3 linked regions of the Oryctolagus cuniculus genome follow. The protein of the gene in region 2 interacts with the protein of the main gene of each other region in a pairwise test. Links are inferred from orthologs where the notes say so. Each region holds a gene or a part of one and is shown on either strand. Other genes may lie near its edges.

Region 1 (4,356 bases), on a different chromosome or scaffold from region 2:
AGCAGCACGCTCTTTTCAGGATCAGCGGCGAGCTGGAGAAGGGAGAGAACTGGTGAGCCGGCGGAGGAGTGAGAGGCCGCTCAGTGTCCAGGGCAGAGGCAGGAGAGAAGCCCAGGGCAGCCAAGAGCCCAGCAGGTGCCTGTGTGCAGGAGAGCACCTGCCGTCCTCTGGTTCAGGAAGAGCGGGTGGCTGCCAGCCCCGGAGGCCCGAAGCTGGGCTGGCACTGTGGTGCTGTCACCTCACCCGACTGCTGGTTCCAGTCCTGGCTGCTCCACTGCTAGTGCACCTGAGAGAGCGGCAGGGGATGGCTTGAATTTTTGGGCCACTGCACCCATGTGGGAGACTCGGTTGGGTTTCAGGCTTCTGGCTTCCGTCTGGCCCAACCCCAGCCATTGCAGCCATCTAGGGAATGAACCAGCAGGAGGAAGATCTCTCCCTGCCCCCCAGCCCGTCTTTCAAATAAACAAAATAAAAATAATTTAAAAACAAGAAAACAAAACCAGAAGGACCAAGCACCCTGCCCACAAGTAGAGGACAGATGGGTAGCCAGCCAGGTGCAGACGGGGCAGGGCGGAGTGAGCTGAGTGACCACGTGTGGCATGGAAAGGGCACATCCCCAAGACCTTGGACGGTCGTCTGCAGGCCCTGCACCTGCAGCTGGGCCCAGAGAGCTGGGCAGGTGGGCTGTGCAGCTGTGAGCAGGGCAAAGTGAGCTGAGCGACCACGTGTGGCATGGGAGAGGCACTGAGCCCGTCCAGGGGCATGTCCCTGAGACCTGGGACATCATCTGCAGGCCCCCAGAGAGCTGGGCAGGCGTGAGCAGGGCAGCCCGCCCCAGTGACTGGAAGGGACAGCTTCCAGGGGCCCACAGAGGCTACAAGGCTCTGGTTCCATGTGTGTGGGGTGTCTCCCGGGGGTCCCCTGAAATGGCCCTTGGGGGTGTCTATTCTTGTCAGCATGAGCTTCTCCAGCAGCCAGAGCAGCTGCCCACAAGCTCCTCTCCATGGTGGCTGCCCTGAGCCAGGTGCCCATGCTCAGGGCTCCTGGGGCCACCTCTGCACCCCAGCCTCAACATGGCCCTCGTCCTGGAGAAGCTGCCCAGCCACGGTCACCAGAGGCCGCCTCGGCTTGAGTCCTTCACTGACAGCTGTGGGTTGGCCGTGCGTGCAGCCCTGCCATCCTGGACGGCCAAGGCTGGCCTGCTTTCTGCACTAGCTTTCTCTCGCTGTTCCCTGAGTCTTGGGAGGGAGGGAGAAGCCAGACATGCTGTTTCCGCAAGCTGTGAGCAGGGCTGCTGAGGCTGCGGCTCAGGCCGTGCAGCCACAAGCGGGGCTCGGCCTGGCTGGGGGCAGCGCAGTGGTGGAGGGGCCTGAGGCTGGCGGCAGCAGGGACAGCTGCGGGCTGGTTCTTTGCCTGGGAGGTGTGAGGCTGGCATGTATGTTCTAGGCATTTTTATGTCGGTGTCTTAGAATTTAGTGCCATGCTGTTCCAGTTCAGGGTTGGCAGTCCGCTGGAAAATACCAGACCCTTGGAGAGACGCTCACGGGACACTGCTCACGCGTCGTGCAGGGAAGAGAGCAGCTGCAGGCGATGCATGCGTGTCACATGATCTCTGGTCTGTGACAGTGGCTGTGCAAGCATACACGCCCATGTACACGGCAGCCACACAGACATCAGCACACCCAGCTCGTCGCGACCGTGACCTCTGGGTGCTGGGGTCACAGGCGATTTCATTGTATTTTTCCTCTCTGCTTCCATGTCTCTGAGACAAACCGGTTGCCACGGAGACCGTGCTGTTGTCAAGGCAGCTGATTGGCCAGCGCGGGACCGAGGCTTCCTGGGAGCCCCTGAACGAGTGCGGCTGTCAGCCCGCAGTGCAGACACGCGCAGCATGGACGCGGCTGGGGCGGACGTGTGGGTGAGCACCTTCGCCCAGCTGATGAGCGAGAGGAAGCCCCGAGACGCCTGGGTCCTGCTCCCCCAGGAGAGCCTGGCCGCGGGGCCCCTGGACGGCAGCAGCTTCCAGTATCGGCTGAAGGGGCTTTCAAGGTGCGGCCAAGGGCAGGCGGGGGGGAGCCCCCTGTGGGTGAGGGGAGGCTGAAGGCGCCTTTCTAGGCTCTGAGACCGGGCCCGAGTGGCCCTGGAGTGGGTGCTGTGGGGCTGGCAGCGGGCATCCACCCCGCCTGGACTTGTCCCCCATCAGGTGGGTGGGGCCGGGCGGTGCCAGAGCTGAGACCCGACAGTGCTGACATCATGGCTGCCAGGGGGGTGGGCGCTCCCCTGGCCTGCGCTGTTCCCGTGGTGTTGCCATGGTGTCCAGGCAGGGCCTGGAATGCGCAGGTGCGGTGCTCAGGCCTGAGCAACCAGCCAGCCGGGCAGTCCTGCTTGGGGAGGCTGTGGCAGAGGGTCCCCAGGGAGCCTCATACTTCATCACCACCATGAACCTCCCCAGCGTGCATCCCTGGCTCATGGCGCCAGCCAGGGGGCAGCTCTAGCAGCTCCGTCGGCCCCTCGGCATGCTGACCGGTTGTCCTGCTCTCTGCCTCTGACCACATAGCTCCCGAGCACCGGATCTGGGGGCCAGTGTGTGGTGGAGCCCTGGCTCTTCCAGGTGCTGGGTCTGAGAAGACCGAGAAGCCCCTGCCTGGCCCCACAGCCAAGTGCTGCCATGTAGCGCATGCAGGTGGCTCTGGTCACCCAGACGACGGGGACCACGACACCCATGTCTCCAGCCAGGGCCACCAGGCACCTGTGGCTTCTGATCGCTAATCAGACTTAAGCAGAGTTAGAAGTTCAGCTCCACGTCCATGCGCTCTGTAGGCTCCTCGGCCGCGCAGGGTCTAAAGCAGTTCCATCGTCTGGAAAGTCCCATGGGCAGCGCAAAGACAGGGTCACTGAGGGCAGCAATGAGTGGCCCTTCATCTGCCCCCCCGCCCCGTCTTTTTAAAAAGTTTACTCATTTTTATTTAGATGAAGGGCAGACTGATGGGGGTGGGGAGAGACAGAACTTCTCCCATCCAATGGTTCAGCCTTCGAACGGCCACAACAGCCAGGGCTAGCCAGGCTGAACTCCATCCGGGTCTCCCACGTGGGTGGCAAGGGAAGCCAGCACCTTCGTCACCGAGGTCCATTGGCAGGAAGCTGAATCGGAAGCAGAGGCGGAGATTCCAGGTGCTCCGATACGGGATGTGGGTGTCTCAGGTAGTGGCTTAATCTGCCCACCCCAACCCAAGGACCTTGGAGGAGAGTCCATCCTGGGGGCCAGGAGCTGGGCGCTTCTTTCAGCCAGGGGTGTGGTGCCCAACTCTCCAGCTCACATATGAGGTGCACTGTTCAGAATCCAGGGGGCTTGTCCAGGGTCCCCCGAGCCTGCACTTAGCTGCAGGGGGCATCCCTCACACCAGCACCCCCTTAAATTTCCCAAATTTCTCATCACCTGGCCAGGCCCAGCCGGGAGGCCCTGAGTCGGCTCCCCCTCCTGCCCTGGCACTCAGGGAGTCCACACTGCAGACAGCAGAATGTGGGGGCGCGTGGCTCCCAGGCCTCCGGCCGGGGTGCACCCTGGTGCTGCCCTGCTGTGCGCGTGTCTGCGTCTCAGGTCTTCAAGCTGCAGGGCCTGGCCCAGAGCGAGGCAGCTCCGAGCGCTGCGGCTGCGCCGGCCGGCACCCGGCTGTTCCCGGGCTGGAGCTGCGTCCTGCCCGGCCGCGGCTCACGGCCCTCTCTCCCCGCAGGCTCCAGTGCAGCCGCTGCCTGTGGGTCTGGCGCTCGGCGCACGTGCACATCCTCTTCCACCTGTGGTGGGACGCGGGCAGCCGCCAGGGGCTGGTCAAGATGCGCGTGTGGGGCCAGCGGTGCCGGATGTGCCCCCCGGGGCCGCCGGGCCCCCGCGGCGACTGCCAGGTGAGCCCCCTCAACGTGTGGATCTTCCTCAGCAAGCTGGTGCTGCACATCCTGAGGCGGTGCTACGGCGACCACCTCAGCCAGTGCCCCGAGGTCCGCTTCGGCGACCGCTGCGAGGCCTGTGAGCTGCAGCTCTGCTTCCTGCAGACGGCGCCCGAGCTGGCCTGGGGGCCGGCGGCCAGGGCCGGGCACGCGGCCGGCTGCTGCGCCGGCGGCCACGACCCCGGCGGCCTCGCCGAGACCGACTTCCTCGACGGCGCCGCGGCGGACGGCGGCGAGTGCCCGCACGAGGGCGCCCGCGTCGTCTCGCTGCCCTTCTCCCTGGTGGACGGCGGCCGGCCCGCGGCCGGCGAGCGCCCGGCTGCCCTTGGCAGGGGCACCCTGCGCCTGTTCGGGCCCGGCGGCGCGGCGCCCGAGGGCGGCGGCATCCCCGTGGACGTCGGGGACCCGGTCTTC
Region 2 (3,316 bases):
CGCCTCCCCTGACCGGGCACAGGGCCTGCAGGTTGCACAGGTGTTGGCGGAGAGACTCCGGGGATCCGTGATCGGGGGCACAGGCTGTGTTTGTTTCACCCTGGGTGGCCTGGCCCTGGCTCTCCCCTGGGCCCTGCGTCCAGCTGCGCACCTGCTCACGCACTGCCAACTTTGTCCTTTTCCCCGTGCAGACAACTGTCAGAGGAGAACGCTAATCTGCAGGAATATGTGGAGAAGGAGACCCAGGAGAAGAAGAGACTGAGCCGAACCAACGAGGAGCTGCTTTGGAAGCTGCAAACCGGGGATCCGACCAGCCCGATTAAACTCTCCCCAACGTCTCCAGTTTACCGAGGTTGCGCCTCCTCGGGGCCCTCCTCTCCAGCCAGACTCAGCACGACGCCCAGATGACGTCACCACGCAGCCTAGGGGAGCTCCGGCTTCCGGTCCACCGCGAGGGCGGACTGACCCGGGGCCCGGCCCGGAGCCGGCCCAAGCGCGCATGCTCAGTAGCTGCATCCTGCCTCGTAGGCCGCGTCCTCTGCCCCCCACCGTGTGAGACTGTCCTGGTGTTGTTGGCATTTAGGAAGGTGTGTGATGTGCAAGCGTTTTACCATAGTTAGCGCCAAAAGAAAGACAACTCCAGTTCTCGAGGGAACTTCCACTGCAGAATTTCAGGTCACAAAAAGCTCAATTTTCAATATACACTCAGCAATCGTTGTGTACTGCACCGAGATGTGTGTGTATTTAGATACACGGATATACACATGCGGCGGTTCTCAGTTGCATTTTTTTATAACGTCAAGTGCTGACATATTTTAGTCACGGTCAGCAGTTTTCTAACTCGTGCCTAAGAATTATTGGGAAATGACAATGCATTTCTATCTAGTTTCCCAGGAATATTTCTACCCAAAATAGAAAAAGGAAAAAAAAAAAAAAAACCATACGGAGCAAAAGCGCCTTTGAACCTACCACCAAGTGGTACTCTATCTAGCATAAACACCAGCCATCTGTGAACGGTAACCGCCTTCGTGAGAGTCAGCGTCTCAGGCCGTCCCAGGTGAGGGCTCCACTCGCAAGGTCTAGTTAGGAGCCGCTCTGCCCTGCGTGGAAAGCCCAGGGGAATCCGCCGCTTTGCAGGTGTTCCGCACCACAGTGACTCAGCTACCGTCTCCTGAGCACAGGTCTTGTGGCATCTCAGAATCGAGCTGTAAACTTTCGGGATCCTTGAGAGAGAGAGAGAGGGTGAGGGTGACCCTGGAGGTGACCGAGACCCTTGGTGCACCATTCCTTAGGAAGGGAAACTGGCAAGCGACGGGGCCTCTGTCTGGACCAGGCTTGCTGCGAGGCTGTTGCTAAATGCGCTCAATTCATTGGAAGCCGATCTCAGACTTGCATTTCCTAGGTAGGTTCCCCACTTCAGTTTGGTTCAGCGACTCGGCTCCGTCACTGCACATGAAGGTGGCTCAGGGGTTCCGGCAGAGGCTTCCAGAAAAGTCATTCTTTCTGGTGGGTGGCCAAGCAGTGCTCCCCCCTCCCCCACACAGTGGTCCTGTCTCCGGCCGAGAAAGCTCCCGGACCGGGGCCGGGGCGCAGTGGCACAGCCGGTGAGGGCTCCCTGGCCACCGGCCTGGCGTCTGTCTGGGACACGATAGCGTTAGGATACAAAGAGGCACCCCCGTGGCAGAGTGGAAGACACAAGTGACAGAAGTAGTTTTGACCGTCAGTGGGGGTGATGGCGCCTTTTGTCTAAGACCCTGTACACCTCTCCCAAAGACCCCTAAAAATCGCCCTGAGCGTAGGCTGGGCTGAGCACACCCAAGGCACGAAGTTCCAGGCAGGGGTCTTGCGAGGGCTCAGAACCGGGGACGGCAGGCAGGAGGCCTCGCAGGGGCGTGCCCAGAACGCGCAGGAGGCCACGCAGGGGCGTGCCCGGAACGCGCGTGTGGCTTGCGTTGGTGACATGAGCCCGGGGGTCGGGCTTCCTGGCCTGGGGGCACATCTCGTTTTCTCTCAACCCTGCAGGGGCCCTGCCCGTGCTGGGGACACCCACGGTAGATAGGCATTGAAGACACATTTCTTTTTGCTTCTGTGGCTCTGCATGCTGCTGTAATGTTGGGGTTGGGCATCCTGTTAGAGTAGATCCTGCCATGATTATTTATTCTCTCGGCGGGCGCAGGCTGCCAACAGCAGCTAGGCTGCAGCTTCGCTGTCTTGCGTAACCGCCGCCTGCCAAACGCAGTCACCCAGCGATACAGACTCCCCCGCGATGTTAGCGTGTGGTGCTGTGTGTTAGGCTGTGCGCTCAAAGTTGTAGCGATGGTAGCGCTAAGTAATCCCTCACCCACCCGGTGGACCAGACCTTTGCCCTGGACAGCCGTGACCTTGGGGTTGAGCTGATGTCCACATGACCCTGGCTTTGTTTTTTGCTTCATGGACGCCCATCACGTCTAGCTCTTCATCTGAGTCATTTCTGTTTCCGAAACACATGGGACAACAGCTAGTGCTGCTGCGCCCCCTCCTGGACATTCCCCTCTGAACACACACAATTAGGACTGGGACTTCTCTCTGCCTCTGTCTCCATTCCCAGCTCGGGGGCAGGGGCCCTTCTCAGACATAGACGCTGCAGCAGGAAAGCCCTGTCTCGTAGCAATCAGGAGACGTGACCGTGGCCTGGGTGTCAGCCTGGGGCGGGAGTGGGATGGAGGTCTGGCACTCTCTGGGATTAGTCGAATGGGGTCACCGCGTTCCTCCTCCCTTCAGTTTCTGTGTTAACGTATCTGTGTTTAAAGCCTATTAAAATGAACATGAGGGACTTTCTGTGATATGCACTTGGTGTCACTGGAGACCTGACCCTCAGGCCGGAGAGTCCAGGCAGGGAGGTGTTGGCAGGCTGGGTTCCTTCCTGTGTGTGTGTGTGAGCACATGCGGGGGCACCTGATTGTCACTGAGAGCAACCCTGGAGACCTCCTCTCCGACCGGTGAATTCTTCAGCAGCGCAAACCGCGGCCTTGGGGGCTCAGTGGCTCCACTCGGCGGGGCAAGGTGGGCTGGTGTGGGTTGGAGGGACACAAGTGGCTGAACACAGTCCCCGCACTATGAGGTTCAAGGTCAGACCTTGATGGCTGTCCTGCACGAAGCTCATGGAAAATGGAATTAAAATATTAATTTATTGGGGCATAAATTTTTTGAAATCCATGCATATGAAGTGTCTTCAAAAACCCACAAAAAGTGTACATTATTAAAGTCATAAACTATGCATAGATTTCACAAATTTCTCACCTGTTTTCACCTGCAAGTGCTCGCTCCTCTCATCCCA
Region 3 (4,224 bases), on a different chromosome or scaffold from region 2:
TTCCTGGCTCTGAGCTGCTGCCTTGCTAGCTCTGGCAGTTGTGGACATCTGAGGAGTGAACCATGAGATTGGGGCTCTTCCCCACCACCTACTCTGCCCCCTCCCAGTAAATAATTTAAAAGAAAAAAAAACATAAACTCTTTTGACTACAAAAAAAAAAATTGTACACCAAAAGTTGAAAACAGAAAAAGCTGCATTAGAAAGTTGATAATGGGGCCCAGCGCTGTGGCATACAGGGTTAAACTGACGCCTGTGACGCTGGTATCCCTTACAGACCCCAGATCGAGTCCCGGCTGCTTCACTTCCGATGCAGCTCCCTGCTAATGCACCTGGGAAAGCAGCGGAGGATGGCCCAAATGCTTGGGCCCCTGCCATCCACATGGGAGACCCCGATGAAGCTCCTAGCTTTGGCTCAGTCCAGCTCCAGCCATTGGGGCCATTTGGAGAGTGAACCAGAGAATGTAAGATCTCTCTATCTCTCCCTCCTCTCTGTAACTTTGCTTTTCAAATAAGTAAAATACAACTTTAAGAAGAAAGTTTATAATGTACTTATTAGGTCCTGATAAAATGTGCTATTAAGAATTTAAATAAAAATTTACTTCTCAATTACCAGCCACTGAAAACTACAACAAACATGACTACTAGAGAAACTCTTTAATCATTCCTAAGTAAAGAATGCCATCCAGCAGTGGTATTTAAAAAATATATATTTATTTGAAAAAAAAAAATACCCCTACAGAGAGGTAGAGAGGTCTTCCATCCCCTGGCTCACTCCCCAGATGGCTGCAATGGCTGGAGCTATGCTGATCTGAAGCCAGGAGCCAGGAGCTTCTTCCAAGTTTCCCACGCTGGTGAAGGAGCCCAAGGACTTGGGCCATCTTCCACTGCTTTCCCAGGCCACAGCAGAGAGCTGGACCGGAAGTGGAGCAGCTGGGACTCGACCCGGCGCCCAATAGGCCACAGCACCAGCCGGCAGCGACATTTTACAACATTGGATGGCAGGCCCTGGATCACTGGAGATTCCCACAAAGCCCAGAAATAGTTGGGTTTAAAAAAAAAGTTTATGAGCTACAAAAAATATCAACACCCTGAAAACGCACAGGAATCCACGGTTAGAATTTAGCGTTCTATCCCGAGAGATACGTGAAATAGAGGTCTACAAACAAGGCTGACAGGGAGGAGGTGACCTGCCATTTATTTCATAGCTCGGCCTGCCCTTTGCCGTGGGACATTGTCAAGGGCGCCGGGCACGCGAGCGGAGGAAAGCACCCAGCGTGCGGCGAGTCCCCACCCACAGCCTTCGGGGTTCAGGGACAGGCGCCGTCCACTTCAACCGCGCCGAGTCCCCTCAGGGACCCCCAGCGCTCCGCGCCCAGGGCAACCGGAAGCTCCGCGGAGTCCCGCCCCGCAGCCCGGAGGCGGAAGTGGCGTCACAATCCGGCCGCGTCCCCCGTCCCGGGTTCGGGAAATCTCCAAAGCTGCTGCGTTTTCGTTCCTCCTCGGGTTGGTTCCTTCTTGGAGTCGCTCGCGTGAAGGGGAGGCCCTGAGTGTGGAAGGAAGGCGACGAAGGACGCGGGTGGCTTCCTCAGGGAGGCCCGGGCCTTCCGGAGCCGCGAGTCCTCCCGGGGCCGCGGGGCCCGAGCGGCCGCTCCGCGCGTGGGTGCCCCGGACGGGCCCGGGCCGGAAGCGTCGCGACAGCGCGGCCTGGGGACGTTTCCGTCCTCTGAGGTCGGGCCTTGGGAAATCTCCGGGGACCGCCCGTGCCCCGCGCTCCAGGAGGGATCCGGGATCCGGCGCGTTCCGGTGAGCTCCGAGCGAGAGTGGGTTCGCAGCGGGCCTCCCCGTGCTCGTAGTCGGCGTGGCGGCACGTCACGCTGAAGCAGGAGGATGAAGGTGCTTTCGGAGACGCCCGGTAGAGAGGTGTCTCGATGGGAGGGTTACACGCTCGTGGGCGACAGCTCGTCCTGCGGAAGGGAAAGTCGAACGCTCGATGTGCCTCGGCCCGGGCGTCTCACAGAGCTGACGGTCCGGGGCCGCCTCACTAACGCGAGGCTTGAAACAAGTCGAATTGACTGTTAACAGAGTGATAGTCTATCTTTTTCCCCACCTTCTTTCAAAAAATTTTAAATCTACCTAGGACAATGAATGCCCATTGTAATAGACTCCTCTGTGTTCAGCATGTGCCATGTTTTTTCTCTCTTCAGATAAGCAAACATATTTTATGGTTAAAATTATATGAGAGTGCATTGAAAATAAATTAGACATGATGCCTCCACGTTAGCTGCAGGTGTGATGTCTCCGTTGTTAGGTATTTGCTAATGCAACTCAAAGGTGAAAGACATTGGACTATTATTTCAATCAAGAAAGTGAAAGACTGTCACGTAATATCAACCCTTTTTAGTAGAAGCCAGAATTCTCCACATTGTTCCAAATTTGGCTTTTGTGCGGTTGAGGACATTTGGATAGGGAACCTGAGGATGGAGGATCTGTCTCTCCCTCCCTTCTGTCACTCTGCAGTTGAAATAAGTAATTAAATCTTTTTTTAAAAAAAAATCCATTCAAGGTTTTGTTAACAGAGTTAGAGAGAGAGATAGATCTTCACCTGCTGGTTCACTCCCTCAGTGACCACAGTGGAGGCCAGGAGCCTGGAACTCTGTCCAGGTCTCCCATGTGGGTGCAGGGACCCAAGCACTCTGGCCATCTTCTGCTTTCCCAGGCACATTAGCAGGGTGCTGGATCAGAAGTGGAGCAGCTGGGACTTGAATGCATGTTCAAATGGGATGCCAGCGTTGCAAGCAACAGCTTAACCCACTGTGCCATAATTTTGATGTTGCATTTATTAATGTCTTTTAGTCTGTTGAATCTAGGTTAGTTCCTATTGTTCCTGCATTATATTGACTTAAAGATTTATTTAAAGAGGAGGGAGATCTTCCACCTGCTGATCCACTCCACTAGTGACCACAGTGGCCTCGGCCAGAGCCATCTGGGTCTCCCACATGGATGTCACAGGCCCAAATAATTTGGCCATCTTCCACTGCTTTCCCAGGCACACTAGCCTGGAGCTGGATCCGAAGCTGGGCAGCTGGGACTCAGACTGGTACTCTGATAAGGGGTGCCAGTATTGCAGCAGATGATGGTGTGAAATGCTAGGGTTCCTGTCACTCACTTGGGAGACCAGAATGGAGTTCCTGGCTCCTGGCTTCAGCCAGACCCAGCTCGGGCTGTTAAGGACATTTGGATAGTGAACCTGAGGATGGAAGATCTGTCTCTCCCTCCCTTCTGTCACTCTGCATTTGAAATAAGTAATAAAATCTTTTTAAGAAAAAAAGAATGTTTTAAAAAAATGAAACTTTATTATATAAACCTAATAAAGGTATGATTTTCTGTTTGTTGTAAAAAACATATTCTTTTTTGCATTTAAAAAAAAAACTTATTGGTGGCTGGCGCCGTGGCTCAACAGGCTAATCCTCTGCCTTGCGGCACTGGCACACCGGGTTCTAGTCCCGGTCGGGGCGCCGGATTCTGTCCTGGTTGCCCCTCTTCCAGGCCAGCTCTCTGCTATGGCCCGGGAGTGCAGTGGAGGATGGCCCAAGTGCTTGGGCCCCTGCACCCCATGGGAGACCAGGAGAAGCACCTGGCTCCTGCCTTCAGATCAGTGCAGTGCGCCGGCCACAGCGCGCCTGCCGCGGCGGCCATTGGAGGGTGAACCAACGGCAAAAAAAAAGGAAGACCTTCCTTTCTGTCTCTCTCTCACTGTCCACTCTGCCTGTCAAAAAAAAAAAAAAAAAAAAAAAAAAACAACTTATTTATTTGAAATGCAGAGAGACAGAGAAAAGCATCTTCCATCTGCTTGTTCACTCCCGAAATGACTGCAATGGCCCAGACTGGGCCAGGCTGAAACCAGGACCTCAGGCTTATATTGGTCTCCTACATAGGTGGCAAGGGCCCAAGTATTTGAGCCATTTTCTGCTGCTTTCCCCAGGTACATAAGCAGAGAGCTACATCAGAAGCAGATCAGGGGCAGGCGCTGTGGTACAGTGGGTAAAGCTGCCGCCTGCAGTGCCAGCATCCCATATGGGCACCAATTAGAGACCTGGCTATTCCACTTCCGATCCAGCTCTTTGCTATGGCCTGGGAAAGCAGTAGAAGATGGCCCAAGTCCTTGGGCCCCTGCACCCACGTGGGAGACCCAGAAGAGGCTCCTGGCTCCTGGCTTCGGATCAG

What was found.
Region 1: the proteins of MTUS2 (region 2) and RTP5 interact in binary tests that used the Homo sapiens proteins (3 or more experiments, as listed by UniProt). The two-hybrid records come from large-scale screens. The link is inferred for Oryctolagus cuniculus from reciprocal best matches to the Homo sapiens genes MTUS2 and RTP5.
Region 3: the proteins of MTUS2 (region 2) and zinc finger protein 426-like interact in binary tests that used the Homo sapiens proteins (3 or more experiments, as listed by UniProt). The two-hybrid records come from large-scale screens. The link is inferred for Oryctolagus cuniculus from reciprocal best matches to the Homo sapiens genes MTUS2 and ZNF426.

What each region holds. Positions count from the first base shown.
Region 1 is NC_091434.1:56,355-60,710, reverse strand, and holds the start of RTP5 (receptor-transporting protein 5), read left to right. Parts: upstream 1-1,420; 5' UTR 1,421-1,756; coding exon 1,757-2,049; intron 2,050-3,731; coding exon 3,732-4,356.
Region 2 is NC_091440.1:85,068,004-85,071,319, reverse strand, and holds the end of MTUS2 (microtubule-associated tumor suppressor candidate 2), read left to right. Parts: intron 1-191; coding exon 192-408; 3' UTR 409-2,812; downstream 2,813-3,316. UniProt on the Homo sapiens protein: Binds microtubules. Together with MAPRE1 may target the microtubule depolymerase KIF2C to the plus-end of microtubules. May regulate the dynamics of microtubules at their growing distal tip.
Region 3 is NC_091447.1:67,469,172-67,473,395, reverse strand, and holds the start of zinc finger protein 426-like, read left to right. Parts: upstream 1-1,288; 5' UTR 1,289-1,803; intron 1,804-4,224. UniProt on the Homo sapiens protein: May be involved in transcriptional regulation.